3 linked regions of the Oryzias latipes genome follow. The protein of the gene in region 3 interacts with the protein of the main gene of each other region in a biochemical or structural test. Links are inferred from orthologs where the notes say so. Each region holds a gene or a part of one and is shown on either strand. Other genes may lie near its edges. The genes, in order: chromobox protein homolog 3, lig1 and ehmt2.

Evidence for each region.
Region 1: the proteins of ehmt2 (region 3) and chromobox protein homolog 3 are reported together in a solved structure, tested with the Homo sapiens proteins (2 studies listed by BioGRID, with this or other methods). The link is inferred for Oryzias latipes from reciprocal best matches to the Homo sapiens genes EHMT2 and CBX3.
Region 2: of the proteins of ehmt2 (region 3) and lig1, one has a biochemical effect on the other in vitro, tested with the Homo sapiens proteins (3 studies listed by BioGRID). The link is inferred for Oryzias latipes from reciprocal best matches to the Homo sapiens genes EHMT2 and LIG1.

What each region holds. Positions count from the first base shown.
Region 1 is NC_019869.2:11,215,071-11,219,776, forward strand, and holds the start of chromobox protein homolog 3, read left to right. Parts: upstream 1-1,608; 5' UTR 1,609-1,740; intron 1,741-2,412; 5' UTR 2,413-2,420; coding exon 2,421-2,566; intron 2,567-3,230; coding exon 3,231-3,387; intron 3,388-3,486; coding exon 3,487-3,581; intron 3,582-4,239; coding exon 4,240-4,366; 3' UTR 4,367-4,706.
Region 2 is NC_019875.2:2,524,544-2,529,340, reverse strand, and holds the start of lig1 (DNA ligase 1), read right to left. Parts: upstream 3,145-4,797; 5' UTR 2,990-3,144; coding exon 2,973-2,989; intron 2,494-2,972; coding exon 2,425-2,493; intron 1-2,424. Other genes in the region: ETS domain-containing transcription factor ERF-like, read right to left, coding at 3,967-4,250.
Region 3 is NC_019869.2:5,428,103-5,432,123, forward strand, and holds part of ehmt2 (histone-lysine N-methyltransferase EHMT2), read right to left. Parts: intron 3,675-4,021; coding exon 3,605-3,674; intron 3,503-3,604; coding exon 3,344-3,502; intron 2,608-3,343; coding exon 2,366-2,607; intron 2,268-2,365; coding exon 2,189-2,267; intron 2,103-2,188; coding exon 2,029-2,102; intron 1,944-2,028; coding exon 1,818-1,943; intron 1,714-1,817; coding exon 1,663-1,713; intron 444-1,662; coding exon 329-443; intron 1-328. UniProt on the Homo sapiens protein: Histone methyltransferase that specifically mono- and dimethylates 'Lys-9' of histone H3 (H3K9me1 and H3K9me2, respectively) in euchromatin.

The sequences.
Region 1 (4,706 bases), about 5.8 Mb from region 3:
TTTCTATCTGTTTCTGCCATTTCCTGTGTGAGCACATTGCTACATATCTGTTTACTTCAGGATAAAAAAAATACTCCCAAGTTTTCCACTTGATTTATTTAAACTTACATTTCAAAAACCTTTTCCATTTTTTTAAATGAAATTCTACCTCAGGTTTATTTTTTTTTCCTAATCCCTTTTTGACTAATTTGAAAGGTTTGGTGAACTTAAGTGTACTTGTATAATAAAATATTCATTATTACTGTGACCCCAAACAGATAAGCTGTCCAGTTACTTAAAAAATCTATCAGCAAGGCAAGATGTAACCCTTTAAATATTTGTCATTATGCAAAGGGATTGCTATGAAAACTATGGGTTCACAGCTTTACAAAGTCAGCCAAGTGTGTGAAATAATTGTGGAGTGCATGAAGTGACATTTTTCTTTTCCTGGTTTAGCTTAAAGTTTACTTTTCTGTCTCTAAGTTTCGCAAATGTGTGTCTTTCTTGTTTTTTGATTGTTTGCTTGTTGATTGCTGATAGTATGGTTTTTCTTGAAGAATTTAGGCGCTTTTGGGGGATTTGTTTACTCTGAATAAAAAAAGAAAGTGGCATTCTTGTTGTTTTTTCTGATAAATATAAGATTATTGTTCACATTTTATGTGTACCTTTAAGTCTAAGCATTTTTTAAAGTGGGGTGAATGTCTTTCTCCTAACTTAAGTACTTTGCTAGTGCTTTAAGTTTTTATTATTATTATTAATCCAAGTACAACTCAAATCACACCATTTGGCCAGTGCTGTAGTTATTTGGTATTGTCAAAAATGGTAAAGAAGACATTTTGACAAAATTACAATTTTTCTAGCAGAGAATTTTTTACTAACTCGGTTCACTTGGTGTAGAAGATATTGTTCACTATTGCAAATAAAAATAAAAAAATAGAAACATTTGGATTGCAAAAGTGTAGACTGAAGCACAGATCATTTTATTTCGCCTTCACACTTATAGCAAAGGTATTGCTTTAGTGTAACTAAATTTAACAGACAACCTTATATTTATCAAGTAAAGATTACTGAAAATGAATCACTTTACATTTGATAATCACATTGAGACAGTAAATAATTTTCACAGCTTTAAACACTGATACTTAATTTTTTTCACACTCAATCAATACAACTGCACTGACACAATATTGTTTTGTGTATTTGTTATTTTATTTAGGGCTTTATTATTAGGATTCTATGCACCCAAATTCTGTAGATCATTCTATAGCAGGTAAGTTGGTTTGCATAAAATAAACATTTTTTGTAGTATTCTTTAGTAACACGAGTTTATTTTAGCTCAGAAGTCATTTGTAAGCGTCAATATCAAAAAAACTCAAGACATACAGAATATTTAAAACACAAAAACAACTATAAGCTGTTCCTTTATTAGTGAAAACGATAGAAATGTGTCAATGTTTTAAACATGCTGCAAAGCTTTACTCGTGTATTCTCATTTTTCATTTAAAATGAAAAAACATATTTTAAAGATTGTGAGATAAACCGTTATATAAACTGAGAAAAAATAAATGACGTAAAAATAAACTAACAGGACACCGTAGAGTCACAAGTGCTCTAAAGCAAATTGTTTCCTTACGGGCTTCCGTAGCCTACTCGCCTTTTGCGTTTGGCGCGCACCCTCCTTTCTTCATCTGTACATAAAGACAGGCAGTGACCGCGTGGTTGAATAAGTCGTCACCGAGGTCATTTTCTAGGCTTTACAAGGTATGTAAGCTACGTTTACCGGTATTAAATGCTGCATCTCATCTCTTTGTTTTTGAACTTTTTTTCTTAAATAACTAAGACGTAAGGAGTAATTTAAGCTAACTTCTTCATCATAGAAATGAATGCAATGAACCGAACAGAATTTGTATTTGACTCTTCACAGCTCAAGCTTTTTAAGTTTATCAAGCCCGAGTGTTGTATGAATAGTATACTTTTAGTTTTAGACTGTTGATTGTCTCGTTTTGCTATTGCTATTAACTTAACACTAGCACGAACAATCTTTCGTTTTTTTGTTGGGTGTCGATATTGCTGTATTGTTGTAATTATTTGAGGCGTTAAGGTAAGATCTAAAGAAAACACGTTTTTGTAGCATGTTGATGTTCCTTTTTAGTAAAAAGATATAAACAATGGTACCATGGCCTCAAACTGTTTTGGCTACGTTAGCATGTTGGCTAACCCAAAGGACGCTAGTACCATTTACGGAAAACTTGCGGAGTGAACGTGGCCGAGTCGCGTCCGTCGTAAAAAGTTGGAAAAACTAAACACACACATGCTGTACACCTTTATATTTACGGTACAAGCCTTTCTGCTAAATGTGGGTCCTACAGGTGAAGTGGAAAAGGGCAGTTGCGTGATACATCGGCAATTGACTCTCCTTCCTCTTGGTTTTAGAGGCCAGAATGGGCAAGAAGCAGAATACAAAGAGTAAGAAGGACTCACAGGACACGCAGGAAGAGCCAGAAGAATTTGTTGTGGAAAAAGTACTCGACCAGCGTCTCGTCAATGGGAAAGTAGAGTTCTACTTGAAGTGGAAAGGATTTACAGAGTGAGTTAACTGGAGCCTCTCCAGCTAGTTCTTTAGAATGGGGAAGGGGGGTTGGCCTGTTTACTCTGTTACCACATTTTTATGTGGTTAAGGAATCAGACATTTACAATAGATTAGCATGAGCCTTAGATCCAATTTTAAAGTTTTTGTACATTTATACTATGATTCTTAATTTGACCCCTCCCCCTCCTTTAACTTGAGCTTTCATTTAGCTAAAATTAGCCAAATTTTTGGCCTCGATTTTCCTTCTGGCTTATGGGTATACAAAATGGGCTGAATACTTCAGGAAAAGAACAAGACAATTGGCTCGAATGTGGCAAGCATCTGCCCTTTTTCTTTGTTTTCCACTCACGCTGTAACTACCCATATAACGTAAACCAAAATTACAAATAGTTCATTTACATGCAAGAAGACACCAGATTATATGCTTTAGACAATTTTCTCATAACTTGACCAGTCTTGTTATTTTTTAAAGAACACCAGATTGCCCTGATCACTTGATAACCCAGATCATTTGGATCTGATTGGTTTCAGATTGTTCTGAACATGTAGTAAAGTCATTTTTGCATGAAGCTGCTAGTGTTCTCCGCATCCTGTTAGCTTTACATTTTTTTTAAAAGTCATGATTTATATGCAATTGATCACAGCCCTCTTAACTATTTAGTGCTGACAACACCTGGGAGCCGGAGGAGAACCTGGACTGTCCTGAGCTGATTTCTGCATTTTTGGAATCACAAAAGAATATTAAGGAGAAGCCTGCTGCTGTTAAAAGGAAAGCCTCCACAGATGAGCCAGAGACAGAGCCCAAGAAGAAAGACATGGTATGTCACAATGTCATTGCAGTACTTTGAGCTCAGTTCTAATTAGTCATTCTTCCATTTTAAAACTGTTTTCTGAATGTTCATGTGCTTCCACTTTAGGCTGAGAAACCACGTGGCTTTGCCAGAAACCTGGAGCCAGAGCGAATTATTGGAGCAACTGACAGTAGCGGGGAGTTAATGTTTCTGATGAAATGGTACATTTTTATAGAATGTCTCTGACTGTCTACTAGACAGAACCTTTAAAAGATGTTTATGAAATGAAAAAAATTATAAGATAAACATCCCACTTTAAAATCTGGTTCATAGGATTATCATTGTAAAACTCCTCACTACACACTTTATACACTTTTCTCAGACAAACAAACATTTTCACACTTTTCTCTCTTGTTTAAACTCTCAAATAAGACAATAAGTCCAATATTTTAGAAAGCAGACAAAAATCTGGTCACAATGGAAGATGTTTGTAATGGGCAAGCTAAACGCATTTGTACAGGAGACATGGGAGGGAGGAGATGGATGACATGGTCATCAACCAATCAGGATCCAGAGGGCAATCAAAATAAACATGCAAAGATATTTATAAAAATTTGAAGCAGCGATAGATAAACCACAGCATAGGGAGGGGTTAATGTAAAACTTGTTTTAGGTGAGCAGTACAATTTGGCCCAGAATGAAAACTTCTAGTTTGAACGTTGTTCACATTTTCTCTTAACTTCATTGGTTGGTTCACAAAAGAAACATTGTGGAAAGATGTTATTTATTGTGGAATATCATATGACTAATTTTTTTAAAGTAGTTTTATGTTGAATGTTTTTTTTTTCCATTTGTGTAACGCTGTTTAATTTTTTACAGGAAAGACTCCGACGAAGCGGATTTGGTCCCGGCCCGTGAAGCCAACACTCGCTGCCCTCAGGTAGTCATATCCTTCTATGAGGAGCGACTGACGTGGCATTCCTGTCCAGAAGATGAAGCTCAGTAACTGTTGTAGTTTGTGCTGTTCTTTGCATTACCTCTGCTCCTTTCTCAGGACGTTCTGTGCTCCTGTTTCCTGCCTTATCCTTCTAGTTACATGAATTACATAGATTTTTTTTTTTTTTACGCTTGTGTGGTTTTCAATGAGCTTTAAGGTTGTATATACTGGTTCAAAGCTTTTTGAGCTGTCAAAGGTTTTGCAATGTATGATCATTGAAGTCTTCCAAAGTATCTCATATTAAGGACCACTAAGTGTCATACATGTCATAACAACTCTAATTGTTAACAGTTTTAGTGCCTGCACTCATTCTTCCTGTTTGCCTGCTTTTTTCCCCAAAAACATTTTG
Region 2 (4,797 bases), on a different chromosome or scaffold from region 3:
CCAATCGCATACCAGATGGGGTTTTACTCCTTTTACCTCCAGACTAATGATGAAGACTAAACTTGGATGGTAGATGTCTTTGTTTTATTTTAAAAGCCGTTTGAGGAACATCAGCACCAAAACACCTGAGACATTTACTGCATTTGATTGGGAAAAGTTTGCATTAAACGTTAATGTCAGCAACATTTCTACATGTGTTTTTTTTAGTTAGACTACAAATTTCTCCACTTTAAGTAAAGAAAAAAGGAAGATTCAATAAACCTTTGTGACTTTCATAGTATAAATCGGGTTTTGTCTGTGATTTTAGGTGAAGTCGGTTAAAAAAATTCTACAATAGAACAGCAACAACAAAAAGTCACACAGGTAAGGTTGTACTGAGAAAATGATCCCAACAAAAGAGAAGGCTAACAAGGTGGATATGTAAAGGTTAAAAATAGACCAAAACAGCCAATTGTACTCCTAAAGGTTAAAGTAAACTTCCTCCTAAAGTTAAGGATGCTCCTCTTATTTTTTTGTATTTGGATGGAGGTTAAGACAGTGAACAGTGAGGTGGGATTTTAACCCCACGGCACTGGCTAAAACGCCTCATTGCACAGATTCTATCTGCAAACAGCAGAAGCAAGTAACCTGTTATACACACAGCTTTACCTGGAACTCACTTCATCATCACTAAGAATAAAAGTCAGATCCAGAAATGCTTTTTCATTTTCAAAATAAAGCTGCATTTGTTGACTCAAAATGAAAAATCAATCCTTCAAAATGCTTTTTCATTTCTACTTAAAAACCGCTCATTCTGTGTCATAATTAAAACTAAAATGCAAAGAGAGGATTGCATTTTCATTTTCACATCCACCCTGCGAACATTGTCACATTATTCAATTTGTCTTAGCATTTCCAGGGGGGAGGCGGGGCGATGACGTCAGTGCGTGTTGGTTCAACCAGCAAACACCAAAAGTTTAGCCTGGTGAAATCTACTAGAGCTGTTCATGGGGCTGCAGCTGTCATTCAACAGCAAAAATAGTGGGAAGCTGCAGGAGACGATCTTCTAAATGTGCTTTTATTACAGTTATGATTATTATTAAGGGCCTGTTGCTCGCTCATATTTTTAAATCTGTGCAGTCAGTGCTTTTTTCTTGGTTGCAGGGACCTGGAAGACGGGTTAGCATTAGGCTAATATGTGCTAAAAACATTACCGTGGAGGAACTCCAAACTCTGAAAGAGGACAGACAGAGACAGCACTGACACCATCGCCCCGCCTCCCCCCTGGAAATGCTGACTGGAAATGAATAATATGACAATGTTTGCAGGGTGGATGTGAAAATGAAAATGCAATCCTCTCTTTGCATTTTAGTTTTAATTATGACACAGAATGAGCGGTTTTTAAGTAGAAATGAAAAAGCATTTTGAAGGATTGATTTTTTATTTTCATTTTGAGTCATTTGATGCAGCTGCATTTAGTAAAATGAAAAAGCATTTCTGTGAATCCATTTTAATTGTCAAATTATACATTTCTAAATGAATTTTACCAGAGAACTTTTTGAAAATGAAATGTCAAATTTATTATCATTTTAATTAAGTGACAGAATAAGCAGTGTTGAAGAAGAAAAAGTAGCTTGGCAGATTTCTTTTTAATTTTGAGTCAACAAATGCAGCTTCATTTTGAAAATGAAAAAGCATTTCTTGTATAGACTTTTATTTTTAGTTATGCTACACAAATGCTTCCATACTAATTGACACACACTGACGGCAGCAGTGAAGATGAGATTCAAACCAAAGAAGAGATGAATAAGAAAGACGGATTTATCCAAAAGACGGTAATGATCAACCAAGTCCAATGATTTAGAGAGGTCCAAGAAGATGGTGGCTGTGCACAGGTTATTACCATAGTGTGAATAAACGTTATTGGTAAATCTCATAAGAGCACTAGTTGTGTTAAAGTGTTTTCTGAATCCTGACTGGTGGAGAAAGGAGGTCATTTGAAGCAAGAACGTTGGATAAATGAGTAAAAATAGTTCTTTGAAAAACTTTAGAATCATTGTTGATCACTGAAATGGGACGATAGTTATTTAAGTTTTGGTCATGGAATGACTTTGGCGCATTTCCATGCAAGTGAAACACAAATAGATATTAGATTATATTAGATTAGATTAGATTAAAAAGATCAGCAAGTGGAGTCAGGATAAAGCAGAAGATGCTAATTTGATTAAAGTAGCCTCAATAAAAATACATTAATTTACAAAACTTTTATTCTTCAAAATAAATGACACTATTTTAGTTTGCTCTGTTTTCTTCTCATGATAACAATGTAATCATTTCCCATGCTTTGTTTAGTTTGCTTTACTACATGGAAACATTTTCATTTTTCAAATGTATTCATAGCAGAAGAGAAATGACGTCATCATGTTATTTCATAGGAAAACTTACTTTTTCACTGGCTCGTCGATCGCCTTCTTCTGAATGTCCTTATCTTTGCTCTTTGGCTGGAAAAATGATCTAATAGGGGAAAATAGTAAACATGTTATAAATGGATGACGTCACTTACCAGAGAAACGGCTAAGAGCTGCAACAAATGCTACTGAGTGTGACGTCCATGTAAACGTTAGCCAAAAAAAATGTACAGCTTCTCTGGCGTAATCAAGATAGTCCCGATTAACACACGATAAACGCTACAGGATAGTAGTTTTTTTTATAACGACAAACGTTCGTTTATAAGCCAAAAGGCAGAACTAATAACACATTCAAAGTATTTCCTGCAAAGGATAATCATGCTAGGGCTAGCTTAAAGTTAGTAAAGCATGCTAGCTCAATAAGGAAGCGCGTTCAATAAGAAATACCAAACTGTTTCACAAACTTCATTCAAGCACATTTTTATCTTAAAACATGTTGGTTCTCAGCCGAGAGCAGAAACATAAACACGCCTAGAAGTAGTTCACGGAGTTCAACAGAAGCAGACCATTTGCTTGTTTACTTACGCAATGCTTCGCTGCATGTTGTCTCTCAGAAATTCTTTCACTTGAACTTCACGATGAACAAAAACTACAAGTTAAGGTGTGGACAAACCCTAAATCCACACAAAAACACACAAACTCCCGCGCTACAGAATCACAAAACTCACTTGGAATATTCGGCGCCAAAATCACATTTTAATCAAAGATCAACAAAATATGAAGAGGTATTACTCCTCCACATACACATTATTCAGATTTTTCGTTGTGTAAATGATCTAATTTAAAGAATTACATTAAATCATCAATAAAACAGGCTCCCATTACTGTAACAGAACAAATTCTTAAATACATCAAATTCGTAAATTTGACAAAAATTATACACTTTGTGCGCGTGTCACACTATCCGACACGGGATTGTTGACACAAAAAGGTCACTAAAATAGTTTATAAAATATTAGCAGCTAAAAAAAAGTATTTTAAAAAAGAGAATACATGTGATGGTGTAGGATACTGAATAATATTGTAGGAAGCAAACATTTATTTTTAAAGTATAAAGAATTTATTTTAAAGAAAGAAAATCAGAGTGAGATGTCTTTTTTTGTTCAGCTTTTCCCGGCAAATGCTCTAAGGAAAAACTTTACCATATAAATTCTTACTGCCCTCTGGTGTCCCGGAGATGTAACTGCATGCAGCAGGCAGAGATGATCAGAGACGATAAAAAGAAATTCCTGCATCATTTATGCAGCTCCTGTCATGTTCACGACATTTAAACAAGGGCGGTGAATTATCAGACAAAATAGTTGGATAGTGTAAGCTGAGTGTGCAGTTTTATTTGGCCCACCCAAACACCCAAACAAGCACACAAATACACAACCTGCCTATGCATGTATGAATAAAATGGAGAATCTTTCAACTGAATAAATAGCTACAAAGATTGTACATTTGCAATCACAAACACAGAAGAAGAAGAATAAAAAAAAACATAAGTTTGAAAGATGTCCAGTTCCATAACTCCTTCTTATTCTTTCTCCTTTTCCACTCTCTGATCTTCCCTCTGATTTTCCGTCAGCTTATCTGCTCCAGACAGGCCCTGCTGGATGTGGGGGCTCACGTCCCACCCTGTAGCGCCCCTCGGAGGCCACAAGTTAGCAATAAAGTTCGATTCCCGTGGCTCATCCCGGCTGACCCCTGGGCGCGCAGACGAGGAGATGAAGGGAAACGTGCCGTGGAGGGCTCGAGGAGCTGCGATCGGTTTGGGAAGGGGGCACGGGAGTAAGAAGGGGTGAGGCAGAGGCTGGACAGCTGTAAGAGGGCAGAATGGGGGGGAAAAAATCAATAGCTCAAAGGGCAATTGTTCATTGCACCCCTAAAAGAAGCTGCCAGCTACCACAGAGGTGTCAGGGGGAGGCAGAGACGATAATTATGTTGAATCTCTTTTTTCACAAAGCAGATCAAAAAATAGCTCAGTCAGAGTAAAATAAGTGATTCTTAAGGCAACAACTGACACAGGAAGTGTTTTAATGGATAATTGATTAAAAAATTAGAAAACAAAGATAGATTTCCTACGTTTATGCTCAGCCTTTAAAATTCTTGAAAAGTCCAGTTTATTTTGAGTTGATTTAAAGTCATAGAAACGTCATAAAACAGGTCTCTATTCTCCCTTCTGCTATTCATCTTGACGACACAGTCAGCTGGTGATTTAAATGTATTCTAATCAAAGAAAGACAACAGTAACGTCTGTAGTTTCAGGTTATTTTAGTCTTTCGTATCACTTCTTGCCACCGCTCTTCTGTTTTAGTATGAATAACATTTAGTTATAGAAGCAGAAACCAAAAGAAAACATTGTACT
Region 3 (4,021 bases):
GGATCATAGTTTGAAGTAGAAAATGTACTGGGCGGGCTCCCAGCTCTCAGCAACGGGGAGGAGAAGGGAAGGGGGGCGGCGTTGCTCCGTGCTGACAGTCCCGCCCACAACTCAGAGGTAAATTTTTGATGAATTATCTCCAAAAAGCAGCCAAATTATAATTAAAAGACCACTGGGAACACTTTGACAATTAATCAAAAGATGATTGCAGTGGGACTTTATAGCCTTGGTGGAACTTAAGTTTCACTTTAATAACGTTCTTTATGGTCCATAAGCACAAACAACAGGACTGATTATGAAACCGCGCTGCGCAGAAAAGACCACTCACCGTCCTCCATCTCCACCAAGTCAACCGAGCTTCTCTTTTTGTCTCGACCTGACAGTAACCACGAAGACTCTTCGCCCTCATTCAAGACGGTTTTTGGTGTTTCCGACTCCAAACGCTGAAAATCACAAGTTATTTAAGTAGATAAACGCACACTGGCATGCATTATCATTATCATTCTGCTCCCCTGGACTAAGTCTAACAGCTCCTGGTTTTTACTTCAATGGGTTGTGGAACTAAAGTTTAAAAGTTTGCAGTTTGACACTGAAATATCTTTCAAAATAAAGATTTGATGGTGTAAATTTGTTCCATCATTGGTGGGAAACCTGAAAAAAATTAAGAAAGGGTCAAAAACTAATTTGACTACTCAACCAATCCTAACGCTCCTCTAGAGTCATCAAATATCTTGATGTAAAGACAAACTGGAAATCTGAAATGTAAAAGATTTTTTGAAACTTAAATAAAAAAATTACAATCAATAACTCCGAAATTTTTCATCAGAAGTCTTTCTGGTTTCTGGATTTTCACGTTTTCTACACTTTTTTTGTGTTTATGGCAGACTGTTAGGGTTTATGATTCTGAATTTACCATTGTCATCAAACAACAATAAATAAAACAGATATGATGACCGTGAACCATCAATTAGATCCCCTTACTATGGAGCCTTGGACATAAAAAAAAGATAAATTATTCCCCCAAGTCAATCGTTAGTAGCCACAAATGAGTATTTTATTAGCATGTTGTGAGTGCGAACTACTAATATGTGACCACATGTTAATACAATGATAAGTTGTGACCATGTAGTACTAATTTGTGAGCACAAAATACTCATTTGTGATGAAAAAAAACTAAGTTGTGCCCAAAAAAATACAAATTTTTGACCATTAAGTATTAATTAGTGCCAACAAAACATTAATTAGTTCCAACAAAACACTAATGTGTGAGCTCAAAATACTAATTATTGCCCACTAAATACTAATATGTGACTACTGAATACTGATTTGTGAGCACAAAATACTAACTTGTAAGCACAAAATACTCATATGTGACTACAAAATACTTGTTTGAAAACACAAAATACTAGTTTGTAAGAAAGAAAATACTATAATGTGACACAAAGTGCTAACAAAATAAAATATTTAATGGCCACAAAGTACTATTTTGTGCACACAAATACAAATTGGTGCACCCAAAATACTAGTTGTCACAAATTATTAATTTGAGAGAATAATTGTTTTATGTTGTTTTCAGTGCTCTATTCCTTTCAGCTGTTGCAATTTGTAAATGTTGCATTAAAAACACAACTGTTTGCATTTTTTGAGTTTAAATTTACTCACGTGATCCTCCGTGTCATTAGCGCGCTCACTCGCATCGACGCCGTTTTGAAACTGATCAAAACGAAAAGGACAAAAGTTAATTTTTATAAAAACAGAGAAACCAGATGTTTAATTAAAAGGACGAGGTTTTAGGAGAATGCATCAAAGCTTCACACGTTTCCAGAATCTTGTGCTGATGAAGTGGAGCTCTGGCTCTGTTCTCCTTCATCCCTGGTCTTCCTCACGCAGCTTTTGCTTTTCGCCAAAGCAGTTTCCACCTTTTTATGAAACAACGTCTCCTCCTGCATTTCAAATCGACAATACACGTCAACCCACCAATAAAAACGGAGACTTTTACTTAAGGAAGGGGGAAAACCACTAACTTACAGTTGGAGAATAATCTGGAATGTTTTCACAGCTGCTGCCTGATACATGACCCAGCTTCCTCTTTTTTAAGGCCACTATAAACATAAAGAAACATGAATGTAATGAAACAGGTGGGTTTATTTTAACTCAAGGTAAACCAAAGCTTTTAAATGTTACTGACAGCTTTCGGGCTCAGAGGTGAGGCAGGGCGATCCTGACGGGGTCTGGGATGCTGAAGCAACTTCACCAGACCCAGTGTTCTAAAAAAGAAAAACATGAAACAAACAAACAAAAAAAAAGTCACAAAAATGTTTACTAAAAAGCAGCTATTTAAACCAACTCTTCAGTCTTCTTTTACCAGCCCAAACGGGGGTCTGTTCATGGTCTTGCGGGCCCGGTGGATCTTAGGTGGGCTGGGAGAAACAGACGGGGAGACAGACGTCGAGGCGGCGAAGGGAGGAGAGGATGGAGCAAGTGGAGGAGAGGATTTACTCCCGGTGGGGACACAAACGCTCATCTTTGCTCGGCCAGGGGACAACGTTAAAGGTGCGGAGGACGCCAGTGATGAAGAGGCAGAGGTAGGAGACTTGGCTTCGTGTCCTGTGAGACAAATGAGAAAAGCTTTTATCGATGACAAAATCCAACAATTGTATATTCTTGTTTTAGAGTAATGAACGATGCACTAACAAAAGAGCACTTTGTATAAATGTTACTGTATCTGTCACAGTATCCATCTAGTGTATATAACTCCTAAATGCCTGTTGATGCAAAAACACATTGAACCACTTCTGCTCCAAAATTTCTTTAATTTAGCATCAGCTTGAAAGCAGAAAAAAATATTAAACTTTTTAATAGCTGGAAATAAATTCAGGCATGAAGGGGATAATACATAAAAAAGCCACATGAATTTTATTTCAATGTATTCAATGATTGAATATTAATCCCATAAAGAGGCTAAAATATAAAATTTGGGTTCAAAATCAAGTTCACAGCCTGATAACTTTATCATTACAGGTTTTTGGGGGCCTTTTATAGATTTTTTTGTCAACCTTTTTTTTCTGGACATTTTGATTATTTTTCATTTTGAATAGAAAAAATAATACAGATTAAGCTAATTTCATTTCATTAATTTTCTTTTAGAAGTGAACAATTTGCTTTAGTAATTAAGCAGAATTCAGCATCATCTATGACCAGTTTTTCAGATTCACATATACACTTGGACAGGAAATGCAAGTTTTTGACCAAGTTACATAAATTCCTTTAGATCTATTTTCCAGATAAAAGAAATTACCGATTTACAAGGACCAGGTGAAATCAGGAGGAAGCGTATTCTCACCTGCTGCAGGTTTATTTGATGGTGCATGGATCAGAGTATCTTCATCCTCTGCAACACTGCCACCCTCACTCTGTGTTTGCTGGCATGACAGCGGTGACTGCACCGCCTCAGTGGGCATCGCTTTCTCAGCATCATCAGGCGTGGGGAGGTCTTCATCGTCTGGTATGCACACAAGCATGAGCCATAAAAGAAGAACAGTCACACACAGAAAATCTTAAACATGAATTTTATAAAGTGAAATCATCAAAGTTCCAAACCTACCTTGGCTTACTTGACTTGGTTTTGCTATTGGCTTGTTGGATGTTTCTGTATCAACATTTTTTGAGTCATCCTATCAAAGAAAAGACCAGTAAAGAGATTTTCAGAAACCGAAACCATGGATATTCAATAAAGTTCATTGTGTCTATAAGATTAACTGACTCCTTGGGTTATTTTTTTTTTATCAGACATGGTTTGTGTTTTGTCAGGACCCTAAATATTTGGACACAGACACATTTTTTTCTAATTTAGTTTCTGTAAATTACCACAGTGAATTTTAAATCAAACAACTCAGATGCCATTGAAGTGCAGACTTTCAGCTTTTATTCCATGGGTTGAACAAAAAGACTCCATAAAAATGTGAAAAACTAAAGCATTTTTTAAACACGATCCCTTCTTTTCATGGGCTCGTAAGTAATT